Linked DNA regions of Callithrix jacchus. The protein of the gene in region 3 purifies or fractionates together with the protein of the main gene of each other region. This does not show direct contact. Links are inferred from orthologs where the notes say so. Each region holds a gene or a part of one and is shown on either strand. Other genes may lie near its edges.

What was found.
Region 1: the proteins of GPN3 (region 3) and POLR2M purify together in Homo sapiens (affinity purification with mass spectrometry; 3 studies listed by BioGRID and IntAct, counting the BioPlex papers as one, with this or other methods). This does not show direct contact. The link is inferred for Callithrix jacchus from reciprocal best matches to the Homo sapiens genes GPN3 and POLR2M.
Region 2: the proteins of GPN3 (region 3) and POLR2G purify together in Homo sapiens (affinity purification with mass spectrometry; 3 studies listed by BioGRID and IntAct, counting the BioPlex papers as one, with this or other methods). This does not show direct contact. The link is inferred for Callithrix jacchus from reciprocal best matches to the Homo sapiens genes GPN3 and POLR2G.
Region 4: the proteins of GPN3 (region 3) and POLR3B purify together in Homo sapiens (affinity purification with mass spectrometry; 3 studies listed by BioGRID and IntAct, counting the BioPlex papers as one, with this or other methods). This does not show direct contact. The link is inferred for Callithrix jacchus from reciprocal best matches to the Homo sapiens genes GPN3 and POLR3B.
Region 5: the proteins of GPN3 (region 3) and POLR3D purify together in Homo sapiens (affinity purification with mass spectrometry; 3 studies listed by BioGRID and IntAct, counting the BioPlex papers as one, with this or other methods). This does not show direct contact. The link is inferred for Callithrix jacchus from reciprocal best matches to the Homo sapiens genes GPN3 and POLR3D.

The regions. Positions count from the first base shown.
Region 1 is NC_133509.1:3,682,806-3,686,319, reverse strand, and holds part of POLR2M (protein GRINL1A), read right to left. Parts: intron 1,310-3,514; coding exon 1,105-1,309; intron 1-1,104.
Region 2 is NC_133511.1:120,037,592-120,041,718, reverse strand, and holds the start of POLR2G (DNA-directed RNA polymerase II subunit RPB7), read right to left. Parts: upstream 2,811-4,127; 5' UTR 2,740-2,810; coding exon 2,728-2,739; intron 2,594-2,727; coding exon 2,484-2,593; exon of another isoform or gene 2,201-2,483; coding exon of another isoform or gene 2,172-2,200; intron 925-2,171; coding exon 765-924; intron 1-764. UniProt on the Homo sapiens protein: Core component of RNA polymerase II (Pol II), a DNA-dependent RNA polymerase which synthesizes mRNA precursors and many functional non-coding RNAs using the four ribonucleoside triphosphates as substrates.
Region 3 is NC_133510.1:113,347,037-113,350,550, reverse strand, and holds part of GPN3 (GPN-loop GTPase 3), read left to right. Parts: intron 1-1,182; coding exon 1,183-1,307; intron 1,308-2,836; coding exon 2,837-2,952; intron 2,953-3,084; coding exon 3,085-3,181; intron 3,182-3,514. UniProt on the Homo sapiens protein: Small GTPase required for proper localization of RNA polymerase II (RNAPII). May act at an RNAP assembly step prior to nuclear import.
Region 4 is NC_133510.1:109,299,171-109,302,684, forward strand, and holds part of POLR3B (DNA-directed RNA polymerase III subunit RPC2), read left to right. Parts: intron 1-2,816; coding exon 2,817-3,017; intron 3,018-3,514. UniProt on the Homo sapiens protein: Catalytic core component of RNA polymerase III (Pol III), a DNA-dependent RNA polymerase which synthesizes small non-coding RNAs using the four ribonucleoside triphosphates as substrates.
Region 5 is NC_133514.1:19,238,660-19,242,680, forward strand, and holds the start of POLR3D (DNA-directed RNA polymerase III subunit RPC4), read right to left. Parts: upstream 2,808-4,021; 5' UTR 2,682-2,807; intron 2,462-2,681; 5' UTR 2,457-2,461; coding exon 2,292-2,456; intron 993-2,291; coding exon 949-992; intron 368-948; coding exon 216-367; intron 69-215; coding exon 1-68. UniProt on the Homo sapiens protein: DNA-dependent RNA polymerase catalyzes the transcription of DNA into RNA using the four ribonucleoside triphosphates as substrates.

The DNA.
Region 1 (3,514 bases), on a different chromosome or scaffold from region 3:
TTTTTTTTAAACAATAGCACCTTGAAAACGCCAATCCATGCCAAGCCTTCTATGAAAAGCCAACGCAGATTATCAGCCTGTTTTGTTGTTCGTTTTTTGGAGACAGGGTCTCACTCTGTCACCCAGGCTGTATAGAGTGCAGCGGTGCAACTGCAGCTCACTGAAGCCTCAACCTCCTGGGCCTAAGCAATCCTACCTCAGCCCCACACGTAGCTGGGACCACAGTCACGTGCCACAATGCCTGGCTAATTTTCTTGCGAAGATACGGTCTTGCTCTGTGCAGCCTGCTGTTATACTAACTGGTGCACTAGTACCTGACTGAAATCAAAATAAGCAACATCTAGGAAATGAGACAGGACAGTCTGCCGGCTAAACAACACTATCCTCCCACTCCTTCTATGCCCTCCCCTGTACTGCAGGAGACAGAAGCCTGGGAACTACATTTCCTCATTCTAGAAGGGGTCTGGGTTAGAGTCCACCACTGAGAAGCTGCCACATGGGTTTTACAAGGTGAAAGGGAGAGACAGGGAGGGATGCGATGCCACGACTATCCTAACAGAACAGGCAGGTGCGTGAGCTTTGAGACCTGAAATTCTACAGCAGTCTCCCCACATCTTCTGGCAAAGCACCACTTTTTTTTTTTTTTGAGACGGAGTTTCGCTCTTGTTACCCAGGCTGGAGTGCAATGGCGCGATCTCGGCTCACCACAACCTCCGCCTCCTGGGTTCAGGCAATTCTCCTGCCTCAGCCTCCTGAGTAGCTGGGATTACAGGCATGCGCCACCATGCCCAGCTAATTTTTGTATTTTTAGTAGAGACGGGATTTCACCTTGTTGACCAGGATGGTCTCGATCTCTTGACCTCATGATCCACCCGCCTCGGCCTCCCAAAAACCCACTTTAATGTTGCAGATTGCTGTTCATCTCTAGCTGTTTCCTGCAGTTCTACCAACTTTGTGACTCTGAAAACCAGTGGTATAGGTCTCAGCTCATGGAAGCACCTAATCCCCTCTATTCCAGTCCATCCTCCTTGAACCTGGAATAAATTCTGACTTATGTAAGCAGCACCCAACAAACAGACGAGAGAAAAACAATACTCTAAATACCTCATAATTCTGTTTCTGCTGTTTCTGAAGTGCCAAAGACTCTTCTATGGAGAGCAGCTGCGCGGGCGTGTGGTGAAGGGGCAGAAGCCGAGCTGCTGTGATGTCATCGAGGTGCTGCTTATCCCTGCGCCGCCGCTCTTCTGCGGAAATGGGAGACCTTCTCTTCTGACCGTCACCAGATGAATCAATTTGTCGAGAAGGTAATCTGATAAAAGGAAAACTTGTGTCACACAGACTATTTTCTTTATTTGTAGACACATTTAAACCATTCACACAAAAGGCCTTTAACCTTAGCAATCAATTCTCCTCCAAAGGTAATAGTAAGCAGTTTCCCAATATTCACTGCGCTGACAAATAGGAGTGTGTTTGCGCATACAGGCTCTTTGCCTTTTCCTTCATCAAACCTTATACTTTAACTGGAGCTTTTCTTTTTTCACTTATTCATTCAATGAACATTTGCAAAAGGGTTTACTGCCTCGTAGAGAGAAATAAACATGTAAAGTTTCAGTGCGATATAATACCAGAGGTACTATGACAGATACCTCAACGAGATACACTGGAACATAAGGAAATGGCCAGTTCCCGTGGGAGACAGGGAGGTTGTCAGAAAAGCTTCCAAGAAGTGACATTTGAACAGTCTTGGAATAATAACTGCTTACCCCTTAAATGAGGAGAGAAGTGCATCCCAGCAAGGGGAGTGAGAGGAAGCACAGCAGGCACAGACACCCAGCTTTTCTGCTATACAGAAAAGACGGCCACAGAGAGGGCTGGGAAGTAGGATGAGCCCAGACTGCAATGAGAAGGTCAACAGAACAAGTTCAGATTTCCATCTTAAAATTTCACTCTGGCAGCAGTGGAGACTGACTGCTAGTTAAACTAGAGGCAGGAAGAAGCCACAGTTGTAGCCCAAGAGAGGGGAGTGTCTTCACTCTGACAGAAGATGAAGAACAATTATACAGATGAAGATCAAGGAAAATACATTACGTAGGTCTTCATGGTGAGCAGATAAGGAGATGAGAAAAATGAAAGATACCTTGGGGGAAGAAAACCAAGAAGAAGGTGGGGACACTATTAGAGAATATGGAAATTACCTTGGAAAGAAACAGGGGTGCCACTTTGTACATGATTAAGCTGAGATGCCAGGGAACACCCAAGTGGTCAAGTGTTATGGCTAATTGGCCATGTAACCCTAAAACTTCTGGAAGATCTGGAGTAGAGGTAGACAAGGGGCAGCCTCCAGCATCCAGGTGATATACGAGGCCAGAAGAGTATGCAGAAGGAAGAGCAGAAAGGCTCAAACGGACACTCCCTAAGCCCATTTTCCAGCCTCCAAGCCACTTCTTACCATGTGTGTAGCCTCTGGACTCCTCAAAGCCCTGCCTTTCCTGCTCTCCTTTAACTACACAGGAGGCTCCCTCTCTCTTAAACTTCCTGCACTCTTGGTAACCCTCATCACTATTCCCTTATCTCCCTCCAACTCCTACATAAATGACCATAATACAGAACTGGGATTAATGTATTCTTTGTTGTATTTATTGGCTAGATGACGGTTCTAGTTTTCTACATGTCATCCTGGAAGTGAAACGTGTACTTCACTGTATACAAGAGATTACCTGACCACATTAATATACTATAGTCCTGATTTTGTATTCAGCAGAAATCACGTTTTCAGGTTAAAATGAATGCTGGGGTTGAGTTAAAGTGTAACAGAAAAGACGCATGTTTTAGGTACTTTTCGCTAGAGGTCTTCTGTTTTTCAGAGAATGGTAGTAGTGATTTAACGGTGCATTTGATGTTATGTACTTGTAAATACAGCACGGGAAGGTAGCAGTTACCCGAGCTGAATGTTACATTTGCTGCAAGTAAATAGCAATTCTTTTCAAAAAGATTTTATTTTTCCTGAAATGTCAGAAATAAATTTATGGCAAGGAACTGATAAGCAGAGTTTCTGCCCATCCTGCATGAATCTATTTTCACAGTTTTCAAACCGCTTCTCAGCTTCCTTCTCCCTGAAACTATTAGTATGTAGTTTAACTCTTTTGCAAGTGTGTAAACCTTGGGTCTTCATCCAGCTCCTAACCTCACTGAAGAACAGGGAGTTTATTACATTATACGTGTATACATTATGGCCATGTTTTTAAACTTGAGATACAACATTAATAAGGCAAAGGAGTTTAAGAATTTTGACTTCACTGTGTCCCCACAACACCTGCTGCTTGCTTACATTTAGTGAGCATGCACATCTCTTCTGCTGGAAAGCCCATGAGCTCCAGCTGCAACTGCCTTCCCCTTAGTTCACAGACTAATCACAGTGAGTACACTTTGATAGTACACTAATCAGAGCTGTACGGTAAAAAATGGTTCCGAAAAAAAGAAGTCATAATAAATTCTCTCTCCAACCCTGTTTATT
Region 2 (4,127 bases), on a different chromosome or scaffold from region 3:
GAGAATTGCTTCAACCCAGGAGGCAGAGGTTGCGGTGAGCCAAGAGCATGCCATTGCACTCCAATCTGGGTAACGAGCAAAACTCCGTCTCAAAAAAAAAAAAAAAAAAAAAAAAAAAGATTTGAACACTGGTTGGGCACATGATCTTGACCAGTACACTTAACTTAAGCTTCAACTTCTGTAAAAAAGCACCCACCTTGTAAAATCACTGTGGGTCTCTGCACATTACCTGGCCCATAGTAACTACTCAGTCAATGCAGGCTTCTATTGTTATGACTATAAATGACTCCCTTGCCCTCTGAGTCACACAGGGCCAGATTGCCATACAATTTTAAAGTGAAGCACAAGAAGTAAAAGTTACTGGCCAGGCATGGTGGCTCACGCCTGTAATCCTAGTGCTTTGGGAGGCTGAGGTGGGCTGACTGAGCTCAGGGGTTCAAGGCCAGCCTGGGCAACATGGCAAAACCCCATCTCTACCATAAAAAAAAAAAAATTAGGCAGCCGTGGTGGCACATGCCTTTAGCCCCAACTACTCAGGAGGCTGAGGCAGGAGAATCGCTTGAACCCGGGAGACAGAGGTTGCAGTGAGCCAAGATCGTGCCACTGTACTCTGGGTTAAAGAGCAAAATTGTCTCAAAAAAAAAAAAAAACAAAAACAAAAAGTAAAGTAACTTAGCTGAAGGCACAGAGTTATCAAGTGGAGCCAGGACCCAACGACATCTTCCAAGAGACTACCCCACTGGCTCCCCTATGTATGGTCTCACCTTGTTGACCTGCGTGACAACAGCATCCACGACTTCTCCTTTAAAGGGCCGGAAAACAATGGCCTTGTACTTAACTGGATAAAGGACGAAGCCTCGGCCTGGCTGGATCACACCAGCACCGATATTGTCAATGGTGGTTACAGCGATTACAAAGCCATACCTGCAAGGAGGAGGAGAAACAAACGGCATTTTGTGTCCATGAGCCTCTAAAGATTCTGCAGTAAAAGTCACTGAGCTTTTGGGAGGAGGGTCAAGGAGAACAAAAGGACAAGTTGCTAGCACCTCAGTTACCAGAGCTTAATGACCAAGAGAAGACAGGACACAGATCAGTATGTATTAGGCCAAATGCTGCTCTGATAATTTCACAATAAATGTCCAAGATGGCTGGAGACCTTGAGCCAACAGGGGCCAATCTTTGGGATGCCTGAGAATCATCTTATTAAAATGCAGACTCTCTGGCCCAGCACGGTGGCTCATGTCTGTAACCCCAGCACTTTGGGAGGCCGAGGCAGGTGGATCACCTGAGGCCAGGAGTTTGAGACCAGCCTGGCCAACATGGAGAAACTCCATCTCTACTAAAAATACAAAACTTAAGGCCGGGCACAGTGGCTCACGCCTATAATCCCAGCACTTTGGGATGCTGAGGCGGGTGGATCACGAGGTCAAGAGATCGAGACCATCCTGGTCAACATGGTGAAACCCCGTCTCTACTAAAAATACAAAAATTAGCTGGGCATGGTGGCGCGTGCCTGTAGTCCCAGCTACCCGGGAGGTTGAGGCAGGAGAATTGCTTGAACCCAGGAGGCGGAGGTTGCAGTGAGCCAAGATCACACCATTGTACTACAGCCTGGGTAACAAGAGCAAAACTCCATCACAAGAAAAAAAAAACAAAACAAAAATTAGCTGGATGTGGTTATGCACATCTGTAATCCCAGCTACTTGGGAGGCTGAGGCAGAATGGTTTGAACCCGGGAGGCAGAAGTTGCAGTGAGCCGAGATCGTGCCACTGGACTCTAGCCTGGGTGAGAGTGAGACTTCCATCTCAAAAAAGAAAAAATAAGCAGATTCTCAGGTCTGCCCCAGAGAATCTTGATTCTGTAGGAAACAATGAGGTTCAGGAATTTGCATGTTCAAGAACCACCCCAGGTTTTTCTGATGCTGGAGACCCAAGTAACTCCACTGCCCTGGGCTGGGTCATTAATACCACCCTGGGAGAGGCTCCTCTGCACAAAGCCCAGAGATGTTCAAGTCCCAAGCTGCTTCCTTCCTCCCCCAACTCGATCTGCCTTTTCTGGTCATTCATTCAGAATATATATTGAGGCCCATGGTGTGTGGTCCCTGGGCACAGGGGATAAGAGAAAACCAGCAGAATGACAGAGGGAGAGCAGACACAAGAACAGTAATTACACTGTGGACTCCACGAGGGCTGGTCTCATTCTATCTTGTTCTCAGGGCCCAACACGGGTCCTGGCACACAGCAAGGATTTTTTTAACATGTTTGAGGAGTAAATGAATGATTAATTTCAACGGAGGGAAGGAAGTCTTATCGGCCAGCATTGCAGAGGGAGTCCTGGGAACCCAAAGCAGGAAACAACTGGCAGCCTGAGAGAGTGAGAGAGGTCCCCAGAGTGGGTGGCAGGACGAGCAGGAGCTGGGGAGGGGTTGCAGGTATAGCGCCTCGTGTGTGCGATCTGGCTGCGCGGTGAAGTCGGCACTCACTTCCCGGTGCAGGTCCCCTCCACCTCGGTGAAAAGCTTCTGCTTCACCGTGTTGAGCAAATTGGGGCCGAAGTAGCGCGGGTGCAGCAGGATTTCGTGCTCTAGGGAGATCTGCGGAGAAAAGTGGGATGGCGACCAGGCCAGGCGCTGGGAGGTTATCGGGCAAGAAGGGGCCCCTCGCGCCGGCGCCCGGCTTTGCTCCTCCTTCCCACCCAGCCCTTGCTGCCACCCTGAGCCCTGCTCACGTGGTAGAACATCTTCCCAGAGCAGTCTGCGAGGCTAAATCCACACCTCTTGCCGCCTCCGGGAATCCACCGGAAGCACAGATAGCCTCAGCAACCCCAGTTCCGGGCCGGCCGCGACAGAGGGAGGAACTCCACCCCCTTCGCGGGTTTGATTGGGCCTCGCTGTCGTGGGCGGGAACCACTAAAGCCACGCCCCTCGCCCGCCCAACCTGGGCCTCAAAAGGCAATTCTCTTAATGCACAAACTATAACAACCACTCAGTAAATACTTATAACGAGATTAATTAGTGAAAGAATCCATAAGTCAAGCGCTATAACAGAGTGCAGCAAATCGATTCAGCAAATATATATCTACACATGTTTGTTGGAGGCCCAAGTACTTCACTGCCCTGGGCAGAGAGAGAGTCTCTGTTGTCCAGGCTGGAGTGCACTAGCGGGATCATAGCTCACTGGAGCCTCCAACTCGTGGCCCCAAGCGATCCTCCCATCTCAGCCTCCCAAGTAGTTGGGGCAGCAGGCGTGCCACCACGCCCAGCTAATTTTTAAAAATTTTTTTTTGTACAGACCGAGTCTCTGTGTTGCCCAGGCTGGTCTCCAACTCCTGAGTTCAAGTGATCTTCCCGCTTCAACCTCCCAAGATGTTGGAATTATAGACATGAGCCACCACACCAGACCTTTGTCTTTCTTTTTTCTTTTCTAAGAGAAGGGATCAGTCCGGGCGCGGTGGCTCACGCCTGTAATCCTAGCACTTTGGGAGGCCGAGACAGGTGGATCACCTGAGGTCAGGAGTTCAAGACCAGCCTGACCATCATGGTGAAACCCCAACTTGAAAAAAAAGGGGGGGGCTGGGCGCGGTGGCTCACGCCTGTAATTCCAGCACACTCTGGGAGGCCAAAGCGGGTGGATCACAAGGTCAAGAGATCGAGACCATCCTGGCCAACATAGTGAAACCCCGTCTCTACTAAATACAAAAAAAATTAGCCGGGCATGTTGGCACATGCCTGTAATCCCAGCTACTTGGGAGGCTGAGACAGGAGAATCGTTTGAACCCAGGAGGCAGAGGTTGCGGTGAGCTGAGAATGCGCCATTGCACTCCAGCCTGGTTAACAAGAGTGAAACTCCATCTCAAAAAAAAAAAAATTAGCTGGGCGCAGTGGCAGGCGCCTGTAATCTCAGCTACTCTGGTGGTTGAGGAAGGAGAATCGCTTGAGCCTGGGAGGAGGAGGTTGCAGTGAGCTGAGATTGTGCCACTGCACTCAAGGCTGGGCGGCAGAGCACAACTCCATCTCAAAAAAAAAAAAGTTGTTGGAATCCCAAAAACCACTTTAAGCCTCGAGAGAGATGTGACTTCGAGTCACATACAGTTTACAATTTCTGTTCTCAGATTATAGATCAACTCAC
Region 3 (3,514 bases):
ATAACACTCATTAATTGGCAGAAAACTAAAATGTGAAGAACCTTAATTTTTCTTTCCTTTTTTTTTTTCTTTTTGAAACAGAGTCTTGCTCTGCTGCCCAGACTGGAGTGCAGTGGTACGATCTCAGCTCACTGCAACCTCTACTTCCTGGGTTCAGGTGATTCTCTTGCCTCACCCTTCCAAGTAGCTGGGACTACAGGCACGTGCCACCACGCCCAGCTAATTTTTCGTATGGTTAGTAGAGGTGGGGTTTCACTATGTTAGCCAGGATGGTCTTCATCTCCTGACCTTGTGATCTGCCCACCTCGGCCTTCCAAAATGCTGGGATTACAGGCATGAGCCACAGTGCCCGGCCTTGTGGTTTTTTTTTTAGACATGGTCTTACTCTGTTGCCCAGGCTGGATTGCAGTGGTGTGATCTCAGCTCACTGCAACCTCCTCTTCCCGGGTTTAAGCAATTCTTGTGCCTCAGCGTCCCAAGGAGTAGCTGGGACTATGGGCGGACACCACCACATCTGGCTAATTTTTTTTTTTTTTTTTAATTTTAATTTCAATTTTTGTTGAGATGGAGTCTCACTCTGTCGCCCGGGCTGGAGTGCAATAAATGGCGCAGTCTTAGCTCACTGCAACTTCCGCCCCCCAGGTTCAAGCATTCTCCTGCTTTAGCCTCCCAATTAGCTGGGTTACAGGTACCCACCACCATGCCCAGCTGATTTTTGTATTTTTAGTAGAGAGAGGATTTCACCATTTTGGCCAGGCTGGTCTTGAAATTCTGATCTCATGATCCACCCACCTCCCCCTCCCAAAGTGCTGGGATTACAGGCGTGAGCCACCACGCCCAACCATTTTCCTGTGTTTTTAGTAGAGATGGGGTTTCACTATATTGGCCAGGCTGGTCTTGAACTCCTGGCCTCAAGTGATTTACCCACTTCAGCCTCCCAAAGTGCTGGGATTATGGGCATGAGCCACTCTGCCTAACCCATAGAACCTCATTTCCTACGTAAAACTGAATAGTTTGCTTGGGATTCCTATGGTGGCAGTACCTTAGGTTTTATGATTGCGTTGAGAGGCTGTGGGCTCCTTAAAAATGTGTTGGCTTTTATTTTTATCCATCTTATGGGGAAACTCTGTTACCTCTAACATATTTGCTGTTTCTTAAATTCTTGCAATACTCTTTATGTAGGTCAGATTGAGTTGTACACTCACCTGCCTGTGATGAAACAGCTGGTCCAGCAGCTCGAGCAGTGGGAATTCCGAGTCTGTGGAGTTTTTCTTGTTGATTCTCAGTTCATGGTGGAGTCATTCAAGGTCTGAACCTAATTCTCTTATAGATTTTTTTTTTTCTTTGAGACAGTCTTACTCCATTGCCCAGGCTAAGTGCAGTGGCATGTTCTCAGCTCACTGCAAACTCTGCCTCCCAGGTTCAAGTGATTCTAGTGCCTCAGCCTCTCAAGTAGCTGAGATTACAGGCATGCGCCATCATGCCTGGCTAATTTTTGTATTTTTAGTAGAGACAGTGTTTTACCATGTTGGCCAGGCTGGTCTCAAACTCCTACCCTCAAACCTCAAGTGAGCTGCGTTCCTCAACCTCCCAAAGCCTCTTACAGATTTTTTTTAACTATGAGTACAAGCAGATGACAATTTCCTTTAATTATTGTGTGATTATGGATATTTCACAAACAATTCCAGAATTACTTAGTATCCCTTTGTTATTAAATTATCATGATAATATGTTATAACTCAAAAGTAGTAAATTAAGGTATCGTAGAGATTTAGGAGGAACTAAGAGAAGATACTGAGGTGGCCAGGCACAGTGGCTCACACCTGTGATCCCAACACTTTGGGAGGTCAAAGTGGGAGGACTGCTTGAGCCTAGGAGTTCCAGTCCTGCCTGGGCAACAGTGAGACCCTGTCTTTACAAAAAAAATACAAAAATTAGCCAGGTGTTGTGGCTTGGGCCTGTAGTCCCAGCTACTTGGGAAGGAGGATTGCTTGAATACAGGAAGTGGGAGGATCGCTTGAGTACAGGAAGCAGAGGTTGCCATGACTGAGATGGCCAAGATAGCACCATTGCATGCCAGCCTGAGTGACAGAGCAAGAAAAAAACTGAAGCAGATAACTATTTAGCTATTTTATAAAAGTCTATTTTAATTTTCTGAGGACTTTTTGTCCAGTTTATGAACTATCTAGATCAAATTTTATTTTATTAGCTCTTAAGGAATATTAGATGGGAAAAGAAATTAAAATGCTGTCTAAATTGACATTTGTGATCACTGTATGTTATCTACATCTTCCCTCACCTTTGGGAACCAAGAGTCAAACACCTAATTAGGGAACATTTTTTTCTGTATGGCTAGCATTTCTTTTAATAAAGTACAAATAATTTTGCCTTTTCCACATGTTCTGAACTAGAATTTCTTTCTTTTTTTTTTTTTGAGACTGAGTTTCACTTTTTTTGCCCAGGCTGGAGTGCAGTAGCATGATCTTGGGCCACTGCAACCTTCACCTCCTAGGTTCAAATGATTCTTCTTCCTCAGCCTCCCGAGTAGCTGGGATTACAGGCACTTGCCATCACACCTGGCTAATTTTATATTTTTAGTAGAGACAGGGTTTTGCCATGTTGGCCTGGCCGGTCTTGAACTCCTGACCTCAGATGATTGCTCACCTCAGCCTCCCAAAGTGCTGGTATTAAAGGCATGAGCCACCATGCCCAGCCTGTATTTCTTTTATTTAGGCCAATTCTGTTTCAGTGAGGAATAGAAGCCTCTTTGTGCAAAGACCAGGTAACTTTGTTGGCAACAGTCAGTTCATCTTCCCTTTTCTGTTTCCTCCTTCAGTTTATTTCTGGCATCTTGGCAGCCCTGAGTGCCATGGTCTCTCTAGAAATTCCACAGGTCAACATCATGACAAAAATGGATCTGCTGAGTAAAAAAGCTAAAAAGGAAATTGAGAAGTGAGTTCACTGTTCTTCCATTATTATCAGATCTCAATTGCAGAGATGAACCTTCTGTTTTATTTAGATGGAAAATTTGGTTGGTTTATAAACCTAGTCTCCTAAATTCATCAGTCTTTCTATCTTTTAAAGGTTTTTAGATCCAGACATGTATTCTTTATTAGAAGATTCTACAAGTGACTTAAGAAGCAAAAAATTCAAGAAACTGACTAAAGCTATATGTGGACTGGTAAGCTTTTAAAGTTTGGATTTTTTGGCCAGGTACAGTGGCTCATGCCTGTAATCCTAGCACTTTGGCAGGTCAAGGCGGGAGGATTGAGTCTAGGAGTTCAAGACCAACCTGGGTAACATAGTAAGACCCTATCTCTTAAAAAAAAAAAAAATTAAAAATTAGGCCGGGTGCAGTGGCTCACGCCTGTAATCCTAGCACTTTGGAAGGCTGAGAAGGGTGGATCACCTGAGGCCAGGAGTTTGAGACCACCCTGGCCAACATGGTGAAACCCTGTCTCTACTAAAAATACAAAAAATATATACATATAGCTGGGTGTGGTGGTGCACACCT
Region 4 (3,514 bases), about 4.0 Mb from region 3:
TATATTAAAAGGAATGTTTACAAAGCACACATTTTTACTTTGAAAGAAAGTCTGAAGTGTCATCAATAGGAATTTTCTTATTTATAACTTTCCTGCGAAATTATAGTTTCTGTTATATGAGGCAATAAGAAAATAGATACTGATGCGTAGCGGAAAAATCTTCATTTAACTGTTAATAACCATTCTTTTAAAGAAAACTTTCCTCTTTTACTTCTGTAGTAAAATTGACACATTTCAGACAGGTTTCTTAGTTAGCAACCTTTTGTCCAAAATAATACAAAACGTTTCATTTCACAGGAGTTTTATATTCTTCAAAGACCTATCAGCTGTTCCTCACATAAGCAATGAATTTAGTTCTGGATGAATTCAGCTCTCGGCAGCTGCTGTGTAGTCAGGGTCTCAGGCTATTCATAAAAGGTTATCAGATGGGTTTTTGCTCCCTTTCTTAAAGCATGACAACTATAGGTCTATCTGATGAAGTCTGGTTCATGTTTTGTATGCCAGACATAAAATTAGTTTTATGGATGAGATTTTGCCCCAACAAAGCATGATATAATCTGCCATGTTGATTCCCTTAATGATGAAAGAATTATTGCAGACTCGCTTCAATACTTGACTTTGGAACTTTATAGTGGGTCTTAGTGGCCCTTGCAATGACAGCTATATCTAAATTTGAGGTGAACCACGCCTTTGTCCCTGTTTAAGCATATAAACTCTGGTGGTCCGAACTTGTCTGAGGTGGATCCTGAATATTTGAAGAGAATCCTCCAAAGAGTGCTTGAACACACTTCTCTTAGAATTACTTTTTCTTGCTTCTTCACCCATGATTTTCAGGTCAAAAGAGCTATTTTAAGTAGTTCTTTTTCCCCTAAATGAAACTGCTTTACCTCCCTGACAGAACTGCTTATTACAAAAATCAGTAGCAGGCCTAGTTACAGGTGTATCCCACTCTAGGCAACAGAAAAAGATCAACCTTTAAAATTCTGAGTTGCTATTAGCAGAATGCTTTTACCAAATATGTTTTCCCCAAAGGACCAGTTTTAGACCTCTTGTGTTTCTCGTCTCTCCCCTTTGTAATACTCCTGCAGAATACAAGAACAAATTCTCTTGCCGAACATCTTGGCTTTACTCCCATCTACTTGCTACTTGCCAACAGCTGCTGCCTTATTTTAGCTGTGTGCTGAATACTTATTTACCTTATTTACTCTTACTCTCTGGGCATAAGTCAGTTTACTAGATTCATTCTCCCTCCGAGGATAAAAGGAGTTAATGAAATAAGTAATAATATGAGAGGTTAATTTGTGGAATATATATGGTTGCTCTGTTTATTTGCCTTATAATAGAGTTTCTTAGAGCTTAGCTCTTTTCCACATTTCAGAAACTTAAGGTTCCAAAGTGATCAATCTTGACTGTAATAGTGAGCAAACTTTAATTTGTGAGGGAGCTCCCCCAAAGTTACATATTTTAATGCAAAAGATCACCTAATCGTTTCCTGAAACCCTAGCAATTTTTCTGCTACAAGGGTTTTTAATCTGGAATCCACAAGAGTCCAAAATGAATATTAAATTTTTGTTCTTGTTTCTATGTGCATTTTTCTCAAGAGAACACTCCTAGCTTTGATTGGGTCCTCTGAGGAGGAATGGAGAACCATGGCAGGTGCAGTTGTTCTTTTTGGAACTAGAAAACTTGAGTCAACAATTCTGTTCACATATTATTGTCTGCTTTGCTTTTTTTTTTTTAACTGAGACAGGGTCTTACCTCCAGGCTGGAGTACAGTGGTGCAATCTCAGCTCCCTACAGCCTCTGCCTGCCTTTTGGGCTCAATTGATCCTCCCACCTCAGCCTCCCAAGTAGCTGGGAGCACAGACATGTGCCACCACACCCAGCTAGTTTTTGTATTTTTAGTAGAGACGAGGTTTTGCCACATTGGCAGGTTAATCTCAGACTCCTGACCTCAAGTGATCTGCCCACCTCAGCCTCCCAAAGTGCTGGGATTATAGGCGTGAGCCACCACACTCAACCTGTGTTGCTTTTTTGATGAATACTGTTTTCTACTATTAATTCATGTTACTATGAATTTACATTTGAAAAATTTTTGACCTTAATCTGTAAGTTCTCCTTGAGGATATTTTCAATATATACAATTATAAAATAATATGTTTAAAATAATATAACATTTAATGCATAAGAAGATAAAGTAAATTTATTATTCAGGATTTATTTCATATGAATCTATTTTAATAATGATACAGTGGCCACAGAGAATATATATTTCTTAATATGAATATATATACTATTTTTAGATTCCTTAAACCTTGATTAGGAAGCCATCAGTTTGTTCATTATCCCAAATAAGTGCTATCAGAGTTATTTTTCTGTTGCTACATTTTGCTATTCTTAAGAGTAACTTTGGAAAACATCCAAATAATCGCACATTCCAACATGAAATGATCTCTTTGTTGCTGGTGTTTTATCAGTTAGTTTATGACTTCCCATGGAAATCTCTGGTCGAACTGGCTTTTCAGTATAGAATTAGTTCCTCAGAAGGTGACTGCTCTGATATAGTAAGGTTGATGCATCAGACACTTCTGAGATGGTTGCTAGACATAGTAATGTTCATTATCTTCCTAGAAATCCCCAGTGAATGACTTGACTAAGTTTTCATTTTAATTGTGATGCTTTGATTTCTGAATATGTGCATGGTTCTAATTTCGAAAGCATGAAATTCCTGTAATGAACTTCCTGTAGTTACTGCACAGTATCAGACAACATAGGATTGGATTAGGAATAGTGTTGTGTCTTTCATCTCCCTACAGGGAAACTGGTCTCTAAAGAGATTTAAAATGGACCGCCAGGGTGTGACCCAAGTGCTGTCTCGCTTGTCATATATATCTGCACTGGGCATGATGACAAGAATCTCTTCCCAGTTTGAAAAAACAAGAAAAGTGAGTGGTCCTCGCTCCCTCCAGCCGTCTCAGTGGGGAATGCTCTGTCCTTCAGACACTCCTGAAGGAGAGGTAAGGAATCTGAGGAGTCTTGATGCTGTGTCAGAAGTGATACCTATGTCTGTGCATAGTGTGGGGTGGGTGTGGTCCCTTTCTGTTCCTATCTCCCAGGCCATATCCTTTTTTGGTCTGCCATTTATCTGGCAAAGAAATATTGACATGCTTGGAAGACTGCCTTAGTGTCATTCTAAAACTAGGACCTGCAGAAGCATTTGATTCAGTAAGTTAGCTAAAAGTAATACAGTCCATGTTTCTCTTGCTTATTTTAGTTTATCCCAAAATCAAACCATGCACAGAAGGAATAAGACTGTGAAGGCAGATTGAAAGACCTATCATCTCTCATGCTCATGAGAAGCTCTTTTTGAGCAGCTCCTTATTGTCCTTAGGTGGGCTCAGTCACAGCCAATTAGGAGTATACAGTCCATTACCTAATGTGGATTCTAACTCACTTATATTGGAAACACAAGCAATTGCCTAAACACCAAGCCAGGGAGTTTACATTGGTTTAC
Region 5 (4,021 bases), on a different chromosome or scaffold from region 3:
CTCTTTTTTGATGTTGATGATATGAGAAGGTCCCATGTCTGACACATCCACTGTCTTATCCCAGTTTCCTGTGGGAAATCACCCGGGTCACTAGGGATCAATCAGGAAGATGCCAACAGCAAGGAAAACTGAACTGGGAGCAGGGAAATTCCACTGCTCTTGCCCTTCTCTTGGGCAGTCTGAACTCAAATTCACTACTGATTCCTTCTTCGTACCTTTTTTCTTCATCATTTCGGCTGGGCCCTGCTCAAAGATGGAGTGGGACTGGATCACTTCTGGGCGGCCTCGTCCTCGTCCATGCCCCTCTCGCTGTCGGTCTCTGTCCCTTTCACGCTTCTCCTTCTTGACAGTTACTTCTTCCTTGGGCCTGGAAAAGAGAATGGATTCGGGAAACCACTCACTCACTGTGTCTCCGAAAACTGGCCTTAATCTCCCATACCACCTCACTCCAAGACAGTGGAGAGTCTGAGCCAATAATTACACTATGAGAAGCAGAATCCAGTTCTAATTCTAGCACTTTTCTCACTTCCTTGATGAGGCAGGATTTTTTCAGTTTGCTTTACTTTACCTTGTCCAAAAATGTAGATTTTTTTTTTTTTTTTTGCATTGGGACTGAAAGCAGGAAGGCAGAAATCCAAAGGAACTTCAAGGAAAGTATGATACATCTTTGTTTAAACTAGTGGCTCTCAACTCTGGCCATCAAAGAGAATCACTCCATTCCACTGCCAACAAATTAAATCACAATTTTTAGAGATGGAGCCCTAGACACCAATATTTTTTTTTTAAACTTACACATCAGAATCACCTAGAAGCAAGGACTGAAAATCACCAGTGAAAAGAACTAAAAACATAAATTTGTCAGAGCCACAAACCTAGTTACTTCCCCCAAAGCCCCATATTCAGAGAAAGTAAATAAGGGGCAAGTATTCAGAAGGCCTAGCTACTTACTCTTCTTTGATCTTCCGACTGATGATATTTGGGGTGAAGGTTTTCTGAAAGCAAAATACAGGAGTCACTGATGTGTTAGGTCCTGACCCCAAAGTACAGAGGAAAAAAAAAATTCCCAAAGGGCACTGTCTACCAACCAAGGCCAACATGGTTGTCTTTGGCACGTTCCACAGTGCTGTCCGCTTTACAGAGACAGACATGTGACTGAAAAGAAGGAATGTCATGGTGTGGTGGCAGTGGAGTTACACATAAAAGAAAGGGGCACCAAACCTCATTTTTAACCAGCAGCCTTAGGTTCTGCCTCTGAAAGAATACCCTCTGGGACTTCTAAAAGCAAAGGAATTTCTCTAGTCTCACCTCTCATCTTCAAACTGCTATAGAGACCAGTGAGTATCATGAGAGAACAGCTCTAGCACCAAGACATAAGTAGGGAAGACCACAGATCTGCCAACACTCTCAATCAGGGGATTATAGACCGTCACAATTTTCCAAGGCAAAGTTAGGTGTTTTTTTTCTTTTGAGAGGGAGTTTCACTCTTGTTACTGTGGCTGGAGTGCAATGGTACGATCTCGGCTCACTCCAGCCTCTGCCTCCCAGGTTCAAGCGATTCTCCTGCCTCAGTCTCCTGAGTAGCTGGGATTACAGGCACCTGCCACCACACTTCTAATTGTTGTATTTTTATTAGAGACATACCCAGCTAATTTCTGTATTTTTTGTAGGGGTTTCACTGGCCAGGCTGGTCTCAAACTCCTGACCTCAGGTAATCTGCCCACCTCGGCCTCCCAAAGTGCTGGGATTACAGGCGTGAGCCGTGGTGCCCAGTCGCAAAGTTAGGTTTTTAAATACTGCTTTATTCTCCTGCCATCCTGACCCTACCCCTTTCAGAGCTACTCTTGACATCCACAATCATATGCACATGGGAGACCACAGAGCCTCAAATGCTATGCCTAGGATTCATCATACTCTAGATAAAAAGTCTGCACACTGAGATGTTGAATTCTGAACTCTCTAAGACTGTGAGGTTTATGCCTGCCTGGCTTTCATGGGCTTGTTATAGATGTCCAAACACACAATGAAAGTAAATAAACACTGTTCAAGTTGCTTTTGAACAACGTTAACTAATTAGGACTCTCTATCCTTCAACCACCTCTGAGAATCATTTCAACATCTGTACTCAGTACCTAGATTTGAAGGTAGGACAGGCTCCCTAGAATGTAAAGAGGAGTAGGCGTGAGGCCGAACAATACTCCAGACACACAGTAGGCCCTACACGAACATTAGTTGAATCTCGCGGCTTGGAATTCAAGGTAGGTGAGTTTCTTTAGAAACGCGCCGTTGGGTACCTTCTTGACTCCCCCGAGGGTGAGGTCCCTGGAACGGATGGAGGGAAGGCGGCCGGGAGTGAGGGGGGGCGCCGGCCGCCGCCCGATGAGCCCCCGAGCCCCGGTCAGGAGGGGTCGGGGCCCTCCCGGAGTGCTGGGCTCGCCGGCGGCGTTTCCTTCCGACATGTTGCCTGGCAAAGAAGGGACAACGAGATGACCAGAGGGGATTGACACGCGGACCCTTGCGGAACCCCACCCACTTGGCTTCCGGTTCCCCACTCAGCGCGTCCTCCAGTGGCGTCTCTGCTCCTCCCCTCCCACGTGGCAAGACTCCCCAGACCACCCAGGTGAGAGCCCTCGTGACACGCCCTGTCTCCAGGACCCCCGCCCAAGAACCAGGCAGGGACTCACCCGGACCGCGGCCCCACACCACGCTCACGACTTCACCAGAGACGCGACCTGCAGCTAGCCTTCGGTCTCCGCGCCGAACGGAAGTCTGCGTGGCATGGTCTGGGCGCCGCCATGTTGGCGCGGGGCGGAAGTGATGTTCTGGGGGCGGGACTGAGCCACAGTATTTATTAGGCGGCGCTTCGCTCCCCTCCGCCTTCTCTTCCCGGTTCTTCCCGGAGTCGGGAAAAGCTGGGTTGAGAGGGCGAAAAAGAATAAGGGGACTACTGTTCTGGGCTACGCTGTGACGTGGCGTTCGGGGGTCTTAGGCCTCGGGCGGGGGTGTGGAGGCGCCGAATTCAGGCTCCTGGGCCTTGTTGGCCGCCACGCGCAATGTGAGGAATCGCCGCGGCGGAGCCCCTGGGAGCTTTGGGGTCGCTGCTCGGGATGGGGCGAGGGGCGCGGCGCAGAGAGCGAGACTTGAACTCAAAGTTGGGGAGTCCTGGGCCACGCCGAGCCCCGTCTCGGGTTCTCCATGGTGACCTTGAAGTGGACAGTTCCTGCGGGCAGCGGCCTCGCCCACTTTTGAGGACCCCCTTCCCTGTGCTCCTGGGGGGGTTCAGGGGTGAGGCTGTGGGGGGCAGCGTTGGAACAGCCGCAATGGACCAACCGGTACCCAGTCACAACCGCCTTGGGCTCACGACGGCGGTGGCCCTCATGTGCGCTCTTGGTGAAAGCCTGCACGGAATCGGAATACCAAGTTTGCTCTACTGTTGGAATTTGAAAAACTTCGATTGACTCCGATGTTTGTGATTTCACATAAAAAGTGTCATTTAATGTTACCCCCCAGACCATGTAAAAACCATGTAACAATATTACGGGGAGTTTGAGGAAAGGAAATCATTTCTATTCGATTGCCACGTAGAGTACTACTATTAAAAATTTTGTAATATATCTAGTAGTCTTCACAAAGTTGTCATATTCTATCACAATTTCGTATCCTTTTTCTTTTGTTTTTTTTGGGGGGAGGCGGGGAGAAGAGGGAGACGAGGTTTCTCTCTGTTGCCCAGACTGCAGTGGTAGGATCGGCTCACGGCACCCTCTGCCTCACAGGCTCAAGCCATGCTCCAACCTCAGCTTCCCGAGTAGCTGGGACTACAGATGCATGCCACCATGCCTTTCCCCGCTCCCCCCGTCCCCCACCTCGTAGAGATGGAGTTTCACTGTGTTGCCCAGGCTGGTCTTTAACTCCTGAGTTCAAGTGATCCCACCCACCTTGGCCTCCCAATGTGCTGGAATTACAGGCGTCAGCCACCGCGCCTGGCCTGTATCCTCCTTTTCCAAATAACATTTCTCTGTTGCCA